Linked DNA regions of Oryza sativa Japonica Group. Each later gene encodes a partner of the first gene's protein in a complex. Links are inferred from orthologs where the notes say so. Each region holds a gene or a part of one and is shown in the gene's direction. Other genes may lie near its edges. The genes, in order: sm-like protein LSM2, sm-like protein LSM5, sm-like protein LSM7 and sm-like protein LSM8.

The links.
Region 2: sm-like protein LSM2 (region 1) and sm-like protein LSM5 share a complex: the UniProt entries of both Arabidopsis thaliana proteins name them as parts of the heptameric LSM1-LSM7 complex. The link is inferred for Oryza sativa Japonica Group from reciprocal best matches to the Arabidopsis thaliana genes LSM2 and SAD1.
Region 3: sm-like protein LSM2 (region 1) and sm-like protein LSM7 share a complex: the UniProt entries of both Arabidopsis thaliana proteins name them as parts of the heptameric LSM1-LSM7 complex. The link is inferred for Oryza sativa Japonica Group from reciprocal best matches to the Arabidopsis thaliana genes LSM2 and EMB2816.
Region 4: sm-like protein LSM2 (region 1) and sm-like protein LSM8 share a complex: the UniProt entries of both Arabidopsis thaliana proteins name them as parts of the heptameric LSM2-LSM8 complex. The link is inferred for Oryza sativa Japonica Group from reciprocal best matches to the Arabidopsis thaliana genes LSM2 and LSM8.

What each region holds. Positions count from the first base shown.
Region 1 is NC_089042.1:3,158,240-3,163,663, forward strand, and holds the start of sm-like protein LSM2, read left to right. Parts: upstream 1-1,970; 5' UTR 1,971-2,118; intron 2,119-2,364; 5' UTR 2,365-2,403; coding exon 2,404-2,406; intron 2,407-2,535; coding exon 2,536-2,694; intron 2,695-3,322; exon of another isoform or gene 3,323-3,464; intron 3,465-5,068; coding exon 5,069-5,188; 3' UTR 5,189-5,424. UniProt on the Arabidopsis thaliana protein: Component of LSM protein complexes, which are involved in RNA processing. Component of the cytoplasmic LSM1-LSM7 complex which is involved in mRNA degradation by promoting decapping and leading to accurate 5'-3' mRNA decay.
Region 2 is NC_089039.1:18,938,344-18,944,094, reverse strand, and holds sm-like protein LSM5, read left to right. Parts: upstream 1-1,868; 5' UTR 1,869-2,014; coding exon 2,015-2,051; intron 2,052-2,182; coding exon 2,183-2,306; intron 2,307-3,773; coding exon 3,774-3,846; intron 3,847-3,947; coding exon 3,948-3,983; 3' UTR 3,984-4,261; downstream 4,262-5,751. UniProt on the Arabidopsis thaliana protein: Component of LSM protein complexes, which are involved in RNA processing. Component of the cytoplasmic LSM1-LSM7 complex which is involved in mRNA degradation by promoting decapping and leading to accurate 5'-3' mRNA decay.
Region 3 is NC_089042.1:4,609,618-4,615,395, forward strand, and holds sm-like protein LSM7, read left to right. Parts: upstream 1-2,434; 5' UTR 2,435-2,594; intron 2,595-2,696; 5' UTR 2,697-2,732; coding exon 2,733-2,735; intron 2,736-2,857; coding exon 2,858-2,939; intron 2,940-4,247; coding exon 4,248-4,319; intron 4,320-4,682; coding exon 4,683-4,735; intron 4,736-5,144; coding exon 5,145-5,231; 3' UTR 5,232-5,451; downstream 5,452-5,778. UniProt on the Arabidopsis thaliana protein: Component of LSM protein complexes, which are involved in RNA processing. Component of the cytoplasmic LSM1-LSM7 complex which is involved in mRNA degradation by promoting decapping and leading to accurate 5'-3' mRNA decay.
Region 4 is NC_089039.1:29,807,643-29,813,109, forward strand, and holds sm-like protein LSM8, read left to right. Parts: upstream 1-1,995; 5' UTR 1,996-2,128; coding exon 2,129-2,168; intron 2,169-2,273; coding exon 2,274-2,314; intron 2,315-2,407; coding exon 2,408-2,482; intron 2,483-3,456; coding exon 3,457-3,509; intron 3,510-3,646; coding exon 3,647-3,737; 3' UTR 3,738-3,997; downstream 3,998-5,467. Other genes in the region: 26S proteasome regulatory subunit RPN13, read right to left, coding at 1-89, 873-896; pathogenesis-related protein 1, read right to left, coding at 4,078-4,674. UniProt on the Arabidopsis thaliana protein: Component of the nuclear LSM2-LSM8 complex which is involved splicing nuclear mRNAs. LSM2-LSM8 binds directly to the U6 small nuclear RNAs (snRNAs).

The sequences.
Region 1 (5,424 bases):
AAGAAAAGCAAAAAGGGAGGAAAATATGGTTTTTGTTGTCAGTAAAAAAAATAAAAAAAAACATGCTAAGAAGAAACTGTTAGAAAGTAATACGCCGTTTATAAAAAAACAAGCCGCTCATTAAAATACAAATATTATCATTGACATAATTATGCATAAAAAAACGTATATTATTATTAGAATTTATTCACCCGTTGCAACGCACATGCATTTTTGCTAGTATATATAAAAAATCCAAAAGTTGGGTATGTAACCTTAGTTCATCTCGCTCTAGAGATGCAACTAATCCAACTACACGAATAAAACCCGCTCGTTACTTCATTTCCCACATGATAATTTGGAAAAAAAATAAATTAAAAGTAGGATAAGCGAAGGAAATAAATCCCGCACGATAATTTTAGAAAGAAAATAAATTAGAAGTGGGATAAGGGGAGGAAAAATAATCCCATTTACCAGCTTCTCTTGCATCCCTGTCTCACTCCCTTTTTCTTTAGGGGCAAAATAAATTAAAAGTAGGATAAGTGTCAGAAATAAATCCCACATGTTAATTTTGGAAAAAAAAATAAATTAGAAGTGAGATAAGCGGAGGGGGAAAAATCCCGTTTACCCGCTCCACTTGCATCCCTGTCTCACTCCCTTTTTATTTGTGTGAGAAAAAAATCACATGAGATAATAAATAGGGAAAATATACTTTGACTCCCTCAACTATTGCCCGAGTATAATTCATATCCTCCAACCACAAAACCGGGTATATTGACTCCTTAAACTATCAAAACCGGTGTAAAAAATGCCCCTTGGTGGTTTTGGCTGACGTGGTGCCTACGTGGCGGTCTTGAACGAGTCTTTGTCCAACGTGGCGCTTACGTGGCATTAGAATAAAAACAAAAAAAACATGTGGGACCCATATGCCATTCACACAAAAAGTGAGACCCACTGACATGTGGGACCCACATGTCATCCTCCCCCCCTCTCTCTCCTCTCTCCCTCCCTTATCTCTCTCTCATGGTGGCAGTGGCCAATGGGGACGAGGCGGAGGGGAGCGGTGGCGGCGGTGACGGCGGTGGGGAGCGACGGCGGTGGCGGTGGGGACGAGGCGGAGGGGAGCGGCGACGGTAGCGGTCGGGAGGAGGAGGAGAAGGCGGAAGAGGTGGTTTACGGGGACGATTGTGGCGGAGGAGAGCAGAGGAGGAGGATGAGGAGGAGGAGGAGGGCGTGCTTCGTGCTTCAGGGAGGAGCTCGTGCCGCTGCCGCCGCGCTAGCCAGCCGCCGGTGACGCTGACTCCGACCCCCCACGGGGGCGGCTCCCCTCTCATACCCCTTCCTCCCTCCTAGTGGCCGCGGGCCATAGCCGCGTTCTCCACCGCCACCGTCGCCGCTCCCCACCACCTCGTCCTCACCGTCATCGCTGGCGCTGCCTGCCACCACCGCCACCAACGCTCCCCTCCGCCTCGTCCCCATCGGCCACTGCCACCACCGCCGCTCCTGAGTCCCGAGAGAGAGAGATAGGAGGAAGAAGGGAAGGAGAGGGAGGATGACATGTGGTCTCTCATGTCAGTGAGTCCCACTTTTTTGTGTGAATGACATATGGGTCCCACATATTTTTTTTGTTTTTATTCTAATGCCACGTAAGCGCCACATTTTTTAATTTTGTTTTTGTTCTAATGCCACGTAAGCGCCATGTTGGATAAAGACTCGGTCAAGACCGCCACGTCAGCCAAAACCACTTCCAAAACCACCGAGGGATATTGTTTATTTGTTTGCACCGGTTTTAATAGTTGGAAGTTGGAGGACATGAATCATACTCGGGTGATAGTTGAGGGAGTCAGAGTATACTTTTTTCCTAATAAATAAAGCTATATGGGCCTTTCACCCTAACCCGGCCCATAATAATATGGTTTGGTCCTATCTCATACCCAACACCCAACCCAACCCAACCCAACTCCTCCTCCTCCGCCTTCTCGCGCTCTTCTAGGGTTTTGCCTCCTCCCGATCCGGCTGCCGCGCTTCCATCTCCGGCGGTCCGGTCTATCCTCTCCGCTCCTTGCGCCTGCGCCGATCTCCATCTCGCTACCAGGGGAGGGGGAGAGGCGCTCGCCGCCGTCGTCCTGCTGCTTCTTGGTGAGCATCCGCATCCTCTTTTCTCATTCATCTCCCTCTCTCTCTCCAACCCACCCGCTTTTGTGTCCAATTTGCTTGCCTGCGTTAACTGTATCTTCTCTTCTAGATCTGGGAGAAGCTGATTTTCTCTTAATTTGATAGCCTTAAACCTTAATAATAGGACTAGAAGTTTTGTTTTTATTTGCCCCTCAAAAATGTTTGGGGATCCCGTCCACTGGGTGCTAATCCTGCCTCTTGCGTCTGCAGATTCTTCGGAGCTAAGGCGGGGAGGGTTCTGCGGCCAGTATGGTAGAATATTTTTTTTAGTTTTTTTTGTTCAACTGCTCGTTGATTTCTTCTCTTCCCACTTCATTTTTTTTGTTCTGTTAGTTTGTGTTGATTTTTATTTTTTGTTCTGTTGATTTGGTTGCTGTGCAGCTGTTCTTCTCCTACTTCAAGGAGCTCGTGGGGAAGGAGGTGACGGTGGAGCTCAAGAACGACCTGGCCATCCGCGGCACGCTCCACTCCGTCGACCAATACCTCAACATCAAGCTCGAGAACACTCGGGTTGTCGACCAGGACAAGTACCCGCACATGGTATGCGATGCGATGCGATGCTGCTCTGGTTATCTATCTATCTGTCTGTCTCTGTCCTGGTGAAATATGGATAGCAATTAGCCGCTTGTTTGCATGGGTACTTCTGTAGATATATTGACTCTGCAGCAAACACAGTGTTTCTTGGTTCTTTACGGTGGTCTTCTGTAGATATATTGACTCTGTATGCTTTGTTCTCTGTTCAAGATAGATTTAGGAAGTTTTCATGGTTTTGTACTTCAATATGCATGTGCGTTTGTGCATTTGCTATGGTTTTTCAGTTGATTAATTATTCACTTCTTTTTACCGTGTTTACACATTTTTCTATTCCAAATTAGCTTGAACAACACACATGTACATGTGGCAACTCAGTCAATTTGATAAGGTCAAAATGGTCAAATAGGACTATAACATTTTTTGTAATTACTATTATGTACTACCTCCGTCTTGAAATGTAACTACTTTTGGCTGTGAATGTGGACAAGTACTTGTCCAGAGTCATAACCAAAAGTAGCTATATTTTGACTTAGTAGTATTGAAGAACTTCAAGGGGCTATTCATTAAAATGTAGTTCATGGAGGTGGGGTCGCACTGCCTTCTTTCAAAAGGATTTATACATAGATATTGGTTCATGCACGGTGCTAACCCCGGGCTTGTCAGAATACTATCCTCTGAAGGAGCCCCAATGCCTGTGCTACATCTTCCATGCCATTCAGTGTTGCAGATCATGATGCTTCTTGTGATTGGTCTGTGTCAGATTAATGGATACATTCAAAATCACCTCATTCTACATGATTTCAGATTTCTTCTCTTCTGTTTGCATAGCATGTACTTGTCATCTGTTGATTTATTAATCTGTTAAAGGAGTACCTTTAGCATGATCCTTACATGTTTAGTTAGTGCTGAATGCTGTATCACAATTCAGAATGGTTGCACGTCTGACATGTAGTTGCATAAGTAAAAGAAGTACGATATGGATATGGATCAGGTAACACTCTCCGTTAGTAACTAGGAGCTCCGTCAGTTGGCCAAGAGCTGACTATATCCAAAAATTGATTTGTGGGTAAACTTTTATATGTCTTCTTAGCAACTTAAAAGCCAATGTTGAAAAAGAAACTAAGTTGAAAATACCCTAAAATCAACTCCAAAAAAAAAGTTCTAAAATTCAAATTATGGCAGCAGCTGATTCTTCTTTGGGCATACAGTGAGGCCCAAAATGTCAGTTATAGGATCCCAGTATCCCACAACCAAGAGTATGCATAAGGAAGATAATAATAACCATCTTTATAAACCATAGTAGATATTACTCTTCATTAGATCACTTGTTACTCTCTGTTGTTTTGGGCATGGGCCAGGCCCATGCAGCAGTTTAGGCATGATAATTTAGGAATAGTCAAATAAAGATAGGAGAGTATCTAGTTAGGAAAGAGATGATGTTTATTAGAAAGTTATAGATAGATATTGGATTGGTTTCTGTAGTACTAGAGATTAGTTCCTTGGATGTCAAGTCTATCCTCCTATATATAAAGGGACCCCATATACCCTATAATCAATTAATATCTGAAGTTAGCGCTAAGCCTTAGAGTTCTAATCAATGAGTCTTTCAGCTCAGCAGGGAGAAGTCCTGCCGCTGCTATTAGAGGGCGAGTGCCCTATCCCCTGGTCTTCAGACCCTTACCTTAGCCAATCCATAACACAGTGGTGTGTTGACTCCAATCAATGGTTCTGTAGTAAATGTCCTGAAGTAGTCACCAGCTAATGATAAAAGGCGGTATGTCTAAATGTTTGTAGAACAAACTTTGGGCTACATTGACATGAATTTAGGAATTAATGGGGAGTAGATCATATAGTGGTATACCTAGTTCGTGACATGCCTTACTGGTGCAGAATTAGGAGCTTAAGATGCACTGGTAATTCCAGTGCAAATACTGTTGTAACCAGGCAAGCACATTACTTGACAGGGACAACCAGTATCCGTACCTAGATATTTATTTGGCCTTCAGTTCCATCCAATGATATTGTATGAAGGGTGTACTTTTGTACTGCATAGGTTACTAAAGATTGCTTGTTAGTTGTTACAAGTACATGATGCCTGAAGTAATCCCAAAGGAAAGCAAAGCTATAGATCAATGTTATATACTGTGTTTTGTAGGTCATGATAGTGATGGAAAGATTCATATCCTTTTGTTATCTTTGCTTGCTGAAACAATCTTCATACTCTCATTGCTTTACCACTTGCACCTGTTAATTTCTATTGTTAAAAATACAACAACGCACCTGTGTTCACTGTTCTATATGGAAGAACTACATTAATCAAGCACTAACACTTTACAAAGAATTCATTTGAGCATGCTGACTCAAGCTTTCGCTCTGGCAGCTATCCGTGCGAAACTGCTTCATCAGGGGATCGGTGGTGCGGTACGTGCTGCTTCCCCAGGATGGCGTCGACATTGACATCCTCCATGATGCCACCAGGAGGGAGGCTCGCGGAGGCTGATGATCCACACCGTATTTTCGCCCTTGGAGGAGCCCTAAATCTGATGTATGGGGGACATGTATGGAGTATGGTGTGACAGACAGCAATATTGACAGGGAGTTAAAAAAGTCTGTAGCAATTCCTCCTGATACTTGCAGTGACAAAACTATCCAAAGATTGCATTTGGCGATGCCATATGCTGCTTCCCTTTCTTGTGTACTCCAATCAATGTTTGTTAGATCAACGGTGCCCATTGG
Region 2 (5,751 bases), on another chromosome or scaffold:
CCACATCGGTGGTCGGCCATCTGGGCTGGGTTTTCAGTGGGCCCACCGCTTTGTCCAATAATTCAATTGGGCCAAGGCTGTCAGAGAGGCCGACTAATAAATTCTGTTCGAAATTGAGCCTAATTTATATCTTTTGAATTTAGGCCCAACTTATATTTCTTTGGAATGAATAAGCCCAACTAATCAATAATATTATTTTCGTGGAATAAGTCCACTTTGTCTCCCCTAAAAGTGACCTAAATCTAATCCATGATCATAAATCGCAAAACCGGATATCTCGGCCCCCGAACTATTAAAACCGGTGTAATTTGACTCCCTTTGTGGTTTTGAGGGCGGTTTCGCTGACGTGGTGCTTAGGTGGCATTTGAATTAAAAACGTATATGTGGGACCCGTTTGTCATTCACACACATAAAAAAATTGTGGGGCCACCCACATGTCCTGCTCTCTCTTTCTTCTTCCTCCCCTCTTCCTCCCTTCTCTCTTTCTTTCTCTTTCTCTTCTCCCCCCTTCGGTCGGCCACGGGGAGCACGGGCTGGAGTGGCAGTGGCGGGGGCTAGAGTGGTGGTGGCCGGCGAGAGCTGAAGCGACGGTAGCGGCGGAACTGTAGCAGCTTGCTCTGGCTGACAACCAATTGACCGACAGGATTCCGCCGAAGATGGTAGAGATAGGGAGGAACCCTGCTCCGACTTTCGAGAAGAACCGGAGGGATGTTAGCGTGCTCGCACGCCTCCCCCGCGCACCCCGCCGCTGAAGGGGGTAGCTTCCACGCCACACACTCCAGCGCCCTCCCCCTAGCCCTCCCGCCTGTCACCGCCGCCGCCGCTTCGGCTCCCACCCACTGTCGCCGTCCCTGCCCGTCGATTGCTCCACGAGAGAGAAGGTGAAGAGAAAAGGGGGAGACATCAGCTAAGATACCGATTCCACAAAATCCCCCTTGGCCGTGACCCGTTCAAGGATTCATAGCTTCTCTTACGCGTCGTCTTGCTGTCAGTCCAGCGCCGGTGAAGGGTACATGACTTACAGTCATGGCGGTGGCGGCGCTCGGCTTTGTCACCCTCCTCGCCTTCTGTTTTTTGGGTTAGTTACTCTGAATCTCTGATTAAGATCGTCTTTGTTGACAACACATACTATATCTCAGTGCTATAACTCGCTTTGATCCTTTACATTGATGGAACAGCGCCGGCGGCGTTGATGTTGGGGTACTACCACGACTCGCCGGAGCTAGTCGTCGTCGGCTCAGGTTGCTCGAGGCTCGTGGAGACGAACTCGTTCATTGTGCAGGACATCAAGGTGATCATCCTCCCGTAGCTCGGTTCTGCACGAGCTCAGTCGAAGAGTGTTTTAATGTGTGCACTCGCTCTTGCAGGCGAGGACGGATGGAGGGTCGCCGGAGAATGGGTTGGTGCTCTACGGGATGCCGGTCGCTCCGCCTCTCGGCATCCCAGCCGCTTGGTCGGAGGCTCGCCGCGCCGTCGTACCAGCCGATTCCCACATGTCATTTTTTTTGTTTGAATCACATATGGGTTCCACAAATAATTTTTTTTAATTCTAAGCCACGTAAGCGCCACGTGGGACGAAGACTATGTCAACATTGCCACGTCAGCGCCACATCAGCAAAATCGCCTTCCAAAACCACGAAGGGAATCAAATTGCACTGGTTTTAATAGTTCGGAGAGTCACCCTATCTGATTTTACGGTTGAGGGTTATGGATTAGATTCGAGTCACTTATAAGGAAGTTAAAGTTGACCTATTCCTATGGTGCTTGAAACCTAGCAAAAGAAAAAAAAAGTGTGATATCTAATCGACGGCTGATTGCTCGATCGGACGGTGGAGAATACGTCTCGTGGGTGGAGTCGGCTAGGGCGCAGCGTTCGCAGTTGGAATCCTCCACCCAAAGCAGAAGCCTCCGCCGCCGCAGCGCCGCTACTCTTGCATCGCCTCCGCCGTAGCCGCGCGCGCCCTTCCCGTCGCCGCTTCCACCTCGATCTCCGCCGGAGAGGGCGTCCGCCGCCATGTCTCAGAACAACCCCTCCCAGCTCCTCCCCTCAGGTGCGCGGAAGAAGCTTCGCTTTAGTTTCTTATAAATCTCGCATCCTAGCTTGCTAACTTTGTTCCAGATAGATTTTGTTTTTTGGGGTTCGAGTTCTTGATTCAGTTCTTGCGGGCTTTGGTTTGTGCAGAGCTGATTGACCGCTGCATCGGGTCCAAGATTTGGGTGATTATGAAGGGTGACAAGGAGCTCGTCGGCACTCTCTGTGGGTTCGATGTGTACGTCAACATGGTGCTCGAGGACGTTACTGAGTAGTATGTGAAAAATCTTCCAATTCTCAACCCTATTTATTTTTCTACTTTCCGCGCCAGGTTTTTTTCTTGTAGGGTAATTTTGGTGTCACAGTCGTAGGGTAATTTCGGTTTCTTCTGATTAGATTCTTAGATTAGTTTAGCTCAGTTTCTCACATTTGTGTCTCAGTGTGCTGATATTGGAATTAGCTAAAATATTTAGAAAACATTGTTTGATTTTCTGAGAACTGAAGTACAGAAATATTGCCCACCTTATGCCAGATTGCTCCTACCTTGTTGCTTTGTTGGTTACTTTCCTCCATGTCATCAGGCAGATTTCGTATAACATGAGTTTGTATTATACTACCAATCATCATAGTTGGTATAGTGCAAGCTATTTTTGATCCTTTCAGTACTCATGTCATGATTGTTAACCCATTGTGTGCTTCAATTTAACTCACACAGACTTGGTTTCATGAAGTTACATAATTATAACATTTGCTGCTCTTATCAGTAATTCAGTATACTTAATATAACTGAAGATTTTATTTGTTGTTTAGTACTTAAGGTGTAACGCAATCACTAGTCTGTCTGTTCTAAGATCAACTGATATGAACGCTTGATTCCAAAGAAGCTGCAGCAGTGGAACACACTGTTTTGTAGGATTTCTGCTGCAGTAACATGTTCATCGTTGTAGTTAGTATTGTCTTGTTTGGGAATATTATTTCTCGCGGAAGGGAAGACAAGCTCTTTTCATCATGATTTATATGGTTATTTATTTGTGGTATAGGACAGAATGATAGTTGATAGCTAGGAGGGAATTGGTCATGTAAAAATGACTAAAGATATTTAGCAGATGGTGGCAGTAGGTTTCCATGAGTGTTATACTGATGCATCATGTATTTTGTGCTAGCTCTTCACAATTGTTGCATTAAGTTTATACTAGTCCTCCCAGGTGTTGATGTATTACTTTGTTTTCCCCGATATTACAATGTTCTATTATACCTGAATTAGTTCTAGAAATATTCATATTCAGTATCTTAGTAGTTTGTAGAATGCACATGTGGATGTTGTAACTATGTTCTTAAAAAGAGAGGTATTTCCTAACAACAAAAAATATCACAAACATATACTGCAACATAATGATGGTTGTTGAGCCATCTTGCAGAAGGGGCTGAAGTGAGCGTGTTTTAGAGTTTGTGTCATCTGATTATATACCATGACTGAAATCTATATGATCTGTTGATGTGCAATGTTTCACTAGTCCCCTAATAAAATGCTGGACCTAATGGTGGAATTTATTCCTATTAGCTGAATATGAAGTTACCACCATCACCCTTGCCAAACTAATGTATCATCTAGGAAATCACTTAGCAAAACCATACTGATGTTTATTAGTTTTTTTCACTTGCACATTTAGCATATGTATATGTTCAATATGAAATTATAGTCTAATGTTTGTTGTTTCATGATCCTCTGATTGTTTTATAGTGAATACACTGCTGAAGGCCGTCGCATAACAAAGCTTGATCAGATACTCCTAAACGGCAACAATATAGCTATTGTGAGAAATCTTGATCAAATACTTGTAATGAATGGTTTGGTAAAAGTTCGGTGTGACCTGCTATGTCTAACGCTATTTCATCTTTTGTTTGGCCTATACAGTTGGTTCCTGGTGGTTCTCCCCCAGATGTGGCATAAGCAAGCACTTCCGTGATATACCTGCTTGAGGCTGATGGAGGCACAGACCGGTGTTTCCTTACTTCAAATGTATTTCTTCCATTTGTGGCTGTACTGAACTTTCTTAGTTAACTGACCTGAAGTAGTGTACCTGCAACAGTTGCTCCTACATGATTTGGCAATGCTAAGTATGAGGTACCTCTTGTAGCTGTTTATTACCATTCTTCTGCAACCTGACTCAGTAAACACTAGGTGGTTGAAGAAACCTGATAATGGAGAGCATATCTACAATTGTTGTATTTGTGGTTCAGCAGTGTTGGACTTGATAATCTTTTTGCTGCATGCTTCCCTACATGTCTCTTTCCTCCTAGGAGCTATGTTAAATCTGGGATTAACGCCTTCTCTATGAGATAATGTGCCACTAGGAAAAAAAATACTGTATTTAATCTGAGGCGATCATGATATACAGTCACTGTACCCTAAAGCTCTGCCATCCGTTCATTCTCTGCATCTTGCAAACGACCGTAGCTTATCTTACACCCATGGCAGCCGCTCTTAGCTCCCTCAAGTAATGGACGGTAGTACGGTACAAAATTTCTTGGTAATGGACGGCACCAAATATATTTTCGCGACTTTGGGGGTGGGGGTGGGTGGGTGAGGAGCATATCGCTGTGATTTGGCAGTAATAGAAACTTAAACATCATGACTTCGGGGGTGGGGGCGGGTGGGTGGCAGTAAAAGAAACTTAAACATCATGAGTGACTTTTTTTTTTTGGCAGTAAAAGGAACTTAAACTGAATGACTTGGGGTGCCATCGTACGAGTCTACGGTTTTTTGTATACAATTGGACTTCAGGAATGGTTTGTGTGATTATGTTAGTTAGGGTGCCCATACAATCAGCTCTATTTTGCTGCTTCACACATCGTGTGATTTTTGTATACAATTGGACTTCAGGAATGGTTTGTGTGATTATGTTAGTTAGAGTGCGCATACGATCAGCTCTATTTTGCTGCTTCACACACCGTCACTCGATGTCACACCGACGCCGCTACACCGCTGTTGCTTGACACACCTAATTATTAGTTATATGACGGCACCGCCATTGCTTGACACTCCCAATTATTAGTTATATGACACGCTATTGCTTGACACTTCCGTGTGATTATGTTAGTTAGGGTGCGCATACGATCAACTCTATTTTCATGGGCAGAGCTACCATGATTCCTGGGTATTCCCGGGAATACCCAACTTATTTTTTTTTATCAAAAAGCAAGTATACTTCTAGTATATACACATGTACACATATTAGTGCACCTAAATCCTCAATTCTTCGATCCATACACAGCCCAACCGGCCTCTTGCAACGCCTCCTACCAACCCGACCCACTCCGTCATGACCCATTTATCATACATCAGTTGACCCATTTAGCCACCACTCTTCTAGACGGCCCCCTCTCACTCTCCCTCCGTGACCCATCCCTCCCTGGCTCGGCTCCTTCGCGCCGCTCCCCATACCTAGGCGGCGGCGCGGCGAGGAGGTAACCGGCAGCGGGAGCTGGACCGTGCTACCGTGGAGGGCGGCGGCCGGCGCCCGCCACTCCGCCAAGCTCAGGCGGTCAGGCCGGTTGGGTGGCCGGCGGCCGCGAGGGGCAGGGGCGGCCAGTGGCTCAGCGCTTAGACGGGAATACCCAACTTTGAAATCCTGGATCCGCCACTGTCTATTTTGCTACTTCACACACCGTCACAAAATGTCACACCAACGCCACTACACCGCCATTGCTTGAAACTC
Region 3 (5,778 bases), about 1.5 Mb from region 1:
GGCCGCAACGCTTGTAAGAGTAATAGAAGGTTATAGGCGGTTAGCTACAAGTACATGTGGAGGAGAGAGAAGAGGAGAAAGAAAAAAAGTGCTGCAGATTTGTAGCCCAGCTATAACACGAACTTTAAGATAAGATATTGTGTATGTATAAAAAGTAGGCCAAGTATTAATGGTGCAATATATGTTTATATAAAACTATACAGAGGCTATTAAAGTGGTTGTAGATGATATCTAAATTTTTAGGGAAAGAAGTTGGCTACACTATTAAACTCGCTCTAAAACGAAGATATGTGATAAAGATGAATAATATTTTTTATGAAGAAATTTTATGCTTCTAAGGGCCGGGTACAATTGAGGACGGAGAAAAAGTAGCGGCAAAAAAAAACTAATTACCTTTAAAATTAAATTCTAAAACTCAAAAACCACAGCTTAAGGTCCTTTTTGTTTATTCAATAAAAGTTGGATGTAGGGGCGGAGCCAGGATTTTGAGCCACTAGGGTCATAGTTTTTACTTATACTAATGTCGTGTTTAAAACTCTAATTATTCTCAAGAATTATTTTGAGCTACTTTCGTGTTTAAAATGACATTAGCTCAAAATTATTTTGGATCTAGAGCTATGAGGAAGTTGGGATTGTTTCATTTTGTTAAAAAAATGTTTAAACTCTATATTCTATAAGAATGTAGGAGTATTTTTAAGGTCCAAAAAATTAAAAGTTAAGACTATAAAACTAGGCATATCAACCATGTGTTTTTCAGACATAAAAGTTTGTTCTGAAAGTTGTTTATCACTTCCTCTATCTCAAAATACAACTACCTACTCTCTTTTTTAAAACATTAATGTTAGGGTGAGAAATAGTTATGGTTGGTTGAAAAAAAAAGTAGGTGAAAAAATTAAATCAGAAAAATTGTGATTGGTTGAGATGGAACGGTTCATAGAAAATTCTATTAGTTGTATTTTATGATAAATTTTAATATTAAATGTAACATATTTTGAGACGGAGTTAGTAGCTTAAAAAACACATCTAACATCTAGTAGTTGATTAGCAAAACTACAGGCCTAATGCATTGATATACACAACTCATAGCTAAAACAATTAGTTGGTTAATATCTACTTTAGATTTGAAACATAGTTGACAAAAAAAAACTTTAAAAAAATTGTCATGGTTTGGATAGAGTTCATGAAAGAGTCAACCCTTCTTCTATTTTCGTTGATTTTTAGTATAAAAAATCCATTTGCCCCCATTAAGATATAGTAATTTTTATGTTGGTTTTTATTATCATACTTTTCAAATTGCTAAACAGTATATTCCATGTGAAAACATTTTATATATAAGTTATTTTAAAATACATGATAAATCATTATTTCAACTTAGTAATAATTAAAACGCAACACTTTCTTGTTTTTCGTACCTAACTTTATCTCTACCTTTAATAAAACAAGATAATCTTTTTATTAGGAAAAAATATTATTATCTTCGCTCCAAAATATATTAACTTTCCATTATAAATCTAGGCAACATTTTGGGACAGGGTAGTATCGTATATTCAATTGTTCTCACTAGAGCAAAAATAGTTCAGTTGTTCATCACATTAATTGCGCAAATCCTAATTGGCGCGCACGCGCCCCTGGCGCGCACGCGCCGGCCCACACGTCTCATCCTCAGCCATTCTCAGCGCTTGCGCTGGCGAGACGCGCGTTTATTTTTTTCGGAATTTTTTCTCTATACGTATAAAACTGATTCGGTTAGTTCTAGGTAATGATAATAATTAAGATAAGATTTGTCTTTTTTCCGAAGATTATTTTAAGTAATAAATTGAAAAGAAATATATATGTGAAGTCAAATTCTAAAAACTTTCAATCCAGATTTGAAAACTTTCAATCTAGATTTGAAAAGTTTTTGAAGTTAAATTTTAAAAACTTTCAACTTTTCATCCCAAATTTAAAACTTTTCATCCTAGATTTGAAAAATTTCAAGCCAGATTTGAAAACTTTTAACTCAAATATAAAAACTTTCAACTCAAATTTAAAAACTTTCAATACAAAATTTAAAAACTTTCAAGTCAAGATTTGAAAACTTTCAAGTCAATTTTGAAAACTTTTAACTCAAATTTGAAAATTTTCAACTCAAATTAAAAAACTTTCAATACAAAAATTAAAAAATTTCAAGTCAAAATAAAAAACTTTCCAATTCTACATTTGTAAAGAGGTGTGCAAAAGATTAAAAAAAAATCGGAAAGAAACGGAGGAAAAAAAACGCGCTCAGAGAAAAAAAAAGAGGTGCGAACATGAAAAAAAAATGTACTGCGTTTTTTTACACGGTAAGCGCTAGGGTTAGTAGGAACACGCGCGGCTTCCCGTTCTGGCGCGTGCGCGTGCAGTAGGAACACCCCATTAATTGGGCTTCAAATCATACACATTGAAGCAATTAGGCTTCATCTCTAAAATGGGCTGAAGGCCCAATAAGAAAAGTCCTCCTTATACCTCTATAAAGTGATTGCGAGAAAAAGAAAAAAAAAGAAGAAAAAAAAAGAGAAAAACACAACACCATCAACCCCCGCATCCGCCACCGCCGCCACCACCCCCTAACTCCGGTAAGCCGCCGCCGCCGTCGCCGGCGGGCGCCGTGTCTTCTCCCATCCGTCGTCTCGGATCTTGCAGCGAAATTTGACAAAGTTTCCCTCCTTGCCTCGCAGATTTGAAGCGACCAGAGGCCGCGGCTAAGGTCCGGGATGGTAAGTTGTAAACCCTCTTCTCCCCTCCTGGGGTTTCGGGTGCTCGATTGGATCGATCCCGGGTGCTAGTTCTTGGTTTGGTTTGGTGGGATTGATTCCGGTTTCGTGTCTTGGTGGAGCAGTCGGGGCGCAAGGAGACGGTGCTGGACCTGGCCAAGTTCGTCGACAAGGGCGTCCAGGTCAAGCTCACCGGCGGCAGGCAAGGTTGGTTGGTTTCATCACCAGTTTAGGTCTGGATTCTTGAATACTCGTAGATGTGGGTATAGTTTTGTGCCAAGAAACCTCAGTGGCAGGGGCAGGAAATCCTAGGTCTGCAGCAAAATTGTAGAGTAGGGTATAGCCAGCTCGAACAGCCTCATTATAAGTGAAACGGTTTAATTAGCGATTAAAAATATAATTTATGGGTAAAACTTTTATATATGAGTTCTTGGTGATTTAAAAGCAAATGCTGAACAAAAGAAACTACGATGAAAAATCACCAAAATCAACTCTATAATAGTTTTAAAATTCAAATTTTCACTTACGCTTATAAGCTGAAGGCTAAATGATGGGGTTGGAAGAAGCTACTAATTATTTCAGTAAAATTCACTGTGCGCATCAGCTCCAGTCCACAGTAATGATCTGAGATGTCGAGCGCAGCATCCATGTGGCTAGTTTTAACATGTCCTCTGAATGCTTATAGCACATAATTGTGAGTTTTCAAGCATGGTGGTTGGTAAATTAAGGTTTTGTCACAAATTGGTCATCTTTTAGCATTTCTTGTGATGGATCCTGCTGTCCAAGGGCCATCCGCCACCCAGTTAAAATTAACGAGTAGCAACTTTATCAATTGACACTTCCTAATTCCTTAATATTCTTTCATAATGAATAAGTCTGGAAATGAGCTCCGCTCAATCCCTTAAACATTGATTCCAGTGTTCTGTATGATACCACATATAAACCAGCATTCCACTTGCATTCATTCAGAATTTCAGCAACACCAATATGTGCATGTGGAGAGGATTTGGCCCTACTAGAAGCTTACCGCCTTCTCTTCCAGTTTTTTACTTTCAATCTGTATGCTCACAGATACCAGATTCTGTGATTGCATATTTTTGAATTACACCTTGTATTCTGTTTGTAGCTAACCTCATCTAGATAGTGAAGGCACTCTCATGGTTGGCTATCCTGATAACTATATGATGACTTTTCACCTTTATTTTTTTTCTTTTTTCAGTATCATTTTACGGACAGAGTGGTAAAATATCATATGCTAACTGTATATTGAAATAGAAACTCCGTCAAGCAGATGAGCGGCCCCTTATGTAATATCTTAAGTTTTGACATTGTTTATAGTAGTTGCAAGGAGGTTAGCCATTAGCATTGATATTAAGATAAAGATTGAAAATAGACTAAAAAATGACAGTAGAACTGTTTCAATTTCCAGAAAACTCGTTTTTGTTATCCTGCAGTTTGTTATAATACACTAATACCACATCACAGGCCATAACTTTGGTATTTCTACATCTGCAGTTACAGGGACTTTGAAGGGCTATGACCAGCTTCTAAACTTGGTGCTTGATGAAGCGGTTGAATTTGAAAGAGGTACTGCTGCATATGTTGATACATTGCATTGTTTTGTTTGATCCCCATTGGTTTGGAGTTTTGAGTATAAATCACAAATCTATGTATTTGGAATCTTAACTAAGAAGAAATTTCCATCCTTCATGCATCTTGTATGTTTATGTGGTGCTAATCTACTGTTATGTACAAAGAAGATTGGGCTGGAATACAGCATAATAATTACACATAGACTAAATTTTAGTTTTCCCATTGTCAAACAATCATGACTGGAGGGAGTACTACTTGCTAATGTAGGTGTGGTACAGTTGTAGATAACAAATGCCTTATTAAATCTTTTCCTGCAAAGTTTAGTGAAGCTCTCATACATACTTTCTCATTTTGTAGAGCAAGATGATCCATTGAAACTATCAGGGAAAACCAGACAGCTTGGTCTTATTGTAAGTTTCTTTGCAGTATTGATTTCAATATCCAGGACTGTATTGATTTCAATATCCAGGACTTATCTTTGTCCTATATTATTTATATTGCTTGCCGATTGTAGTTCTGATAGTTCTTTTCTCTAATACACGAGATGTGTGTATCATTTCATTAAGAGAAGGAAGCTCTGAGAGTTTTTATTTCCATGCTATACGATTATTTTGCACTTTGCTGAAATCTGCACTAGTTTTTTTTTTTTCTGGAAATGTTGATTCGATCAGATTTACAACAAAACAGTGATTAAACAAAAATAATCTCAAAATCAAGAGCTTGGTTTCTTGCAAACTACTAGTTTGTTTCTGCCATTTGATTTCTTTTTGGCTGGTTTCATCATCCTGACACCTCAGCTCCAACGACTGTTTGTTGCAGGTCTGTAGGGGTACAGCGGTGATGCTTGTATCGCCAACCGATGGAACGGACGAGATTGCCAACCCCTTCCAATCTGATGGTGCATAAACCTGCAGGAGCTGATGGTTCTCCTAGTCAAGATCCATGCTCTCCCAGTAGAGAGGCCTTTGTATTAACTCATGTAATCTGGTGCCACAGTCTCTTATGACTCGTGTCTCTTATGAACACCAGGTGGTGGTCTGTTCTGTACCACTCGAAACTGATTTCTGAAGATCCTTGCTTTGTGTCAGATATATGAATCGCATTATGCTCTTGTTCGGTTTGTTCATATACTGTGCATGGTTGGTTTCTTTGCTTGGTTCAGCTTTCACCTTTGCCCCATCTGTGACTGTGAGCTTGCTTGCAGTCTCTTCTGCATAAACTGCGTTTGCAACAGTCGGAAAAAGACATGGAAAAGAACAGAGTTAATTTAGGCATTTGAGTGACCTTCCGTTTGGTGGCTGTTCCTGCATCAGGTGATTCAGATCATTACCTTAAGCAGCCATGTGAAGCTTCATAGATTGCATATTCTTCTGCCCTGTTTAGAATGAGTTCCTGTTCGGATTGTGTATTATTCAATCGACAGTAGTGACAGGAATCTGTTACCGGATCATCA
Region 4 (5,467 bases), on another chromosome or scaffold:
CCTATGCGAACAAGACCCTTGCGTGTGTCTGGGATCACTCGTGTTCCATCAAGGGACATCTTACCCGCACGAAACTCGCACATGATATCCTGACAAACACATGAGAGATTGTTTTTAAATAGAAGCTCAACACCTTGTTATATCATAGCAGAGATAAATGAGATGGCAAAAATAAATATATAGGTCATTAAGATTCTGAATAAGCACAAGATCTTAATTTGAGATAGATCAATAAGCACCATGCACTGCAACAGAAAATTAACTCAGTTCACTGAACTACTGAAAGCTCACTATACACAACCTACATTTCTTATCAGAAGATTTTCTTGCTACAAATTGCTAGCTAAATATTTTGGCCTTTTAGAGTGCAGGCAAAGATTAACAGAAGTTCTATCCCAGTTTTCTGAAAAGAACTAAAACATAAAGAAACAAACTGCCTAGTATACAAAAGAGACATCTATGTTTTTTTTTCTTTTTTTGTATCATGTACGATGAAAAACTGGTCCAAACATGGTTCAGGCCTTTGTACATATTACACACAAAACAGCCCATTAACATGGTACTACCAATGCCATTTTCTGTCAGGCTTTCTTTAACCAGCTGGCTCACTTGTCATACACTCAATTACTTGGCAAGATTTGCGAATAGTTGAGAATTTGTCCACCACAAAAGACAACCTCAATTATCCTTTTGGCAAAGTGTTGATACCAACCAAACAGCCCATAATGTCATTTTAGATGGAACTTGCAGCAGCTAAATCATGATCTCAAATCAACAGCAACCGATCATCGCAGTTAAACACTAACAGGAAATTCGGTATTTGAAAAAACCAATACTTGCAGAAACACTAGAAGGCAAAGTGAGGAGTTTACCTGTAGGGGCTCTGTGCTCTCCATTGATTAAAGAGTGGCTACCACAAGGTGCAGGCCCTAAAACAGGCAGTAAAAAGGACAGTAAAGTATTGGACATAGAACAAAATCAAGCAAGTGTGAAGTATAATAGGTTATCAGTAACTAGTTGTCAGAAGTGTACTGCATGCCAATTGAGATGAACAAAAGGTACTGTAGTCTGAAAGTAGTAGCTGCCTTTAGAACTTTGTGCATATGAGAATGAAAACATTATGCGCATGTGTTGGTAAAATACAGAAAAATGCACTTGTGAAGGATTAAAGAAGACTAGATCTATAAATTTATGTACACTAGAGTCTTTGTTGTGCAGTATTTGCATCTTCAAGTAGCACGTAGGCAACTGACAAATTAGTATTTACATAAAGAAATTCCTGCGTCTGCGTGCTTGTAGATTTGTAATTTGTAAGGTGGTTTCTTTGGGCTTTATAAGATATTATTACTGCATTACTTTTGTGCTGCTGTAGTGTTATTTCATAGTGGAGAACCAACGTGACCCAAAAAACGGCGAAGACTAGCCAAAAACCCTAGCAGCTAGCAAGTCGCATTAACATAAAACTCGTCAATGATTAGCTTGTTTGCAGGGGCTAGTTCCTTACAGGATGGTGCAGTGTTTTATGTTTGTTTATTTTTTTTTCTTACATGTAGATGTAAGCAAGGAGAGCAAAATAGGTGGGTGATCTATAAGATTTTGCTGGTAAGGACCCAAGAAAAACATGAGCAATAAAATCGATTGGAGCAGCCGTCCTAGAAAGAGAGATTTGGATTGGAGAGAGGAACAGGTAGGGCAAGGGAGAAGAAAATATCTTAGAAACAATGGAGCAAGAGTTGGTCACCACTCAGTCACTCACCAACAAGTGGGGGATTACGGAGGAGGGCTGGACGTCGTCGTCGTCGTCGGCGGCGGCGGCGGGACGGGAGGAGAGGGATTCTCCGACGCGATGTGATGTGATTTGGGGAGGCGATGACGACGGGAGGGGGAGCAGAGAAGGATCTCTCATGGTGGGCTGGGCTTCTCTTAGCTGGGCTGGAGAGGCCCGCCCACGCATTTGATGGCCCATATAAAAGCCCGCTCGGCAACTCCAAAGACGAAGTTGAGCTAGGGTTTTCAATCTCTTTCTTCTCTCCAAAACACAAATCGTCGCCGCATCCCCTCAACTCCGGCGATCCCCTTGGCGGCGGCGGCGGCTTCCCCAATCACCCCACTCCACCTGAACTACAGGATGGCGTCCGCCGGCCCGGGGCTCGAATCGCTCGTCGACCGTGAGTTCATCCCTCTTTTTTTTTTATCTCATCTCACCCAGCTACCCAAGATTCTCCTCCTCCTACTATTACTAGTGATAGATGATGTTTTTTTTTTCTCTCCAGAGATCATATCCGTCATCACAAACGATGGCCGCAACATTGTGGTGAGCCCCTTGTTTGATCTACTCGTACACCTTTTTTGTTTTTTTTGGCTCTCGCTAATACTCACTCGAATTGCCCTGCCTCCGCTTCGTCAGGGGACACTCAGAGGATTCGATCAAGCCACCAACATCATCCTCGATGAGTCCCATGAGAGGGTCTATTCTACCAGGGTAGGGTTGCTCCCAACTCTTTCTACGCTTCTTTCATGCTATCTTGCAAACCTTCAATTAATTTTACAGCAATATCAATATTTCACTAAGCTAGTACTATATGCCCTGATAATCCGGCAACACACACTTTACTTCCATCTTCATAAAGTTATGTTTACAAGGCGGTCATACTTACAGTTAGTTACTCTGCTAAATTTTTCTGCGTTTAGAATCTCTACCACAGTCTGTTTGGCATTTTCCATAGAGTTGCCTGTTTGCTAAGGCTACAAGTTCAGCCACACAATTTTTTTTTGTTATTCCAGTATGTCCTTGTTAATTGTGACCTTCTCCCTGGTTTGCTGTCAAATGCTCTCATTGGTTCACTAGTGCAGAATTCTGCAATCAGCAATAAGTTTCTCTCATGGTGCTTGAAAGTTAGTTGCCAACATGTATTACACAGTACCCTTTATGGCTAAACACAGATTGTTTTCAAAGATGGCTCTCTTTCATGATGGTTATAAATGTCATCATGAAGTAATGAGTTCATATTGTTGACTGTTCGTATCTATCATCATGTCTACTGTCAGTATGAACTGAAGTTCGTTTCCTGCAAAATAATGAGTTTATACTGTAACATGTTTTAGCTGAATTTGTCATAACAGCACCTTTTTCTTCAAGGATTGGTTCGATTAATTCTACCTTGTGCACGTTCAATTTTTCAGAAGTCATATTATTTTTTGTCTTCAATAGTTAGGTATTGGAATGTCTTTGTTCTTTATGGTGCAGAGTTGTTGTTCTAACAATTTGCAGGCAATGTTGACTATGAATAGTTATATGTCTCGTATCATGCACCTCTCTATTGAATATGGGATATGCCTTCTTAAGGACTAGGGGCCAATGCCTTTAAATTGTCATGCTTTTAGTTTGTGGCATGTGCTGTTAGTAGTACAGTTGAAATTTTGAGTAGTGATGAGAGAAATGTGTTGTACCTGCAGGAGGGAGTGCAACAGCTTGTTCTTGGGTTGTACATCATAAGGGGCGACAACATGTAAGCTATTTCCTCAATTGTCGTTTGAGCTGTTTATTGCTTATTAATTACCTGCATGGAGGTCGTTTATGGATGTGTTATTTTGTTTGGTGGTGTGCCTAACTGAAGTTGAATCCGTGGGTGATGCATATTTACAGCAGCGTGGTGGGGGAGGTGGATGAAGAACTGGATGCGAGGCTGGATCTATCGAATCTGAGAGCGCACCCGCTGAAGCCCGTGATCCACTAATGGAAACGAATGAATGATGTACTACTACTAGTAGTAAGCTAAACCTAAATGTAGTGTTGTCCCAGAAGTTGTGAAGAAGTGGGTGCTAGTGTTGCCGATGAGTGAACTTCTTTAACGTACGCGAGGAAGTCCAGCAAGCGGATGAGCGAGCATGAAGAAGAATGTTATGGTTTTATGTGGTGGTGGATGGGTGATGCATGTTTGTTGAACACGAACACAGACACAGTGACTCAGTGAGTGAAGATTTGGTTTCCATTGTATTGTATTGTTTGTGCAGCTGTATCAATGTACATGAATGAGGAAGGCAGGCAGGTCAGTTGTTGAAGAGAAGAAGAGCATATTAGGAGTAGGTGGGAGGGGTAGCCGGCTGGTGCTGCTCGTCTTTGAAGTAGTTGCAGGTGATGAAGACGCCGCCGTTGAAGCACTCGGCGCGGGCGCAGCCGATCCTGGTGAAGTTGGGCCTGACCATGAAGGCGAAGTGGCCGCACTCGTGGAAGTCGACGCCGGCGGTGCATTTGCCGGTGTCCCTGTCGTAGAGGTGCTCCTCGTCGCCCCAGCATCGGACGGCGTCGGAAGCCCTGGCGTTCCAGCCGTTCCTCCCGATGTAGAGGCTCTCGGCGAAGCTGTTGCCGGTGGAGTGGCGGATCTGGCAGTCGCCGCGCATGGCGTCGGACCACCGCCGCGCCTGCCTCGCCAGCTTGTTATCCCACCTCATCGGCTGCAGCCCGTAGCGCGCGCGCAGCTGGTTGTGGCCGTCCACGAACTCCCGCGGCATCCCCTTGTACCAACCCATCCCATTGGTCCACGACACCAACCACCCCGCTGGTGCCGATGCTGATGCGTCGTCGTTGAACCAACACATCGCGTCGCCCACAGACAGCAGCAGAAACCAACACAATAGCAATAGTAATGGGAGGATCATCGCGGCGGCGGCCATTGTCTGCCGTCGTCCCGACGAGGACGAGGCCGCCCGCCGATCCGATCCAATCCAATAGTGCTAATGGGCTTCTTATATCCTAGCTCATCTTTTGCCATTTGCTTTTCTTGGATTTGCCTCTCGCTCTTCCAACCATAAACAACGAACTAATAATGCCAATGCCAAGTTTAGGCAGTTTTTCTTTTCTTCTCTGCATCGATCATATCATCATATCGCACGGCCACTCTGTCCAAACAACAAAGCCTAACCTCCCCGGGCACTGGCAGGGCAGCTGGCTGGGCTCTGGCTCTACCAGCTTGCTGCCTGCCTGCCGTGTCTCGTCTGCTTCTACAACTACGGAGCACCTGTTTGCAACGGCCAACGGACGGAAGGAATGTTTTTTTTTTTTGTTTGGCTTGGATTCCATCCATCCTCTCCGGCCTGTTCGTGTGTACGCCTTGTGCTAGGCTAGGCTCCACACACCTGGACATTCTACTCTCGATCGTTCGCGGTCGCGGGGCCCTCTTCTGTTCTGTTGCGTTAATTGCGGCCGCTTTGCTTTCAATTACTTAATATCTGTTTTAATTTCTTCGCCACTTGACATGGTTATGAGTATGACAGATTAATATATGCTATCTTTTTTGTAAGAAAAACCGTTAATATATGCTAGCTACGACTGCATATATATGACAGATTATATACGTAGTATATACTTGTGGTTCGCAATAACGACCAGCTAGCTTAGCTAGCGGATCAATCATACGACGTTACGTTACATTATACTAGTACGTGATGATCAAAGAATCATGCATGT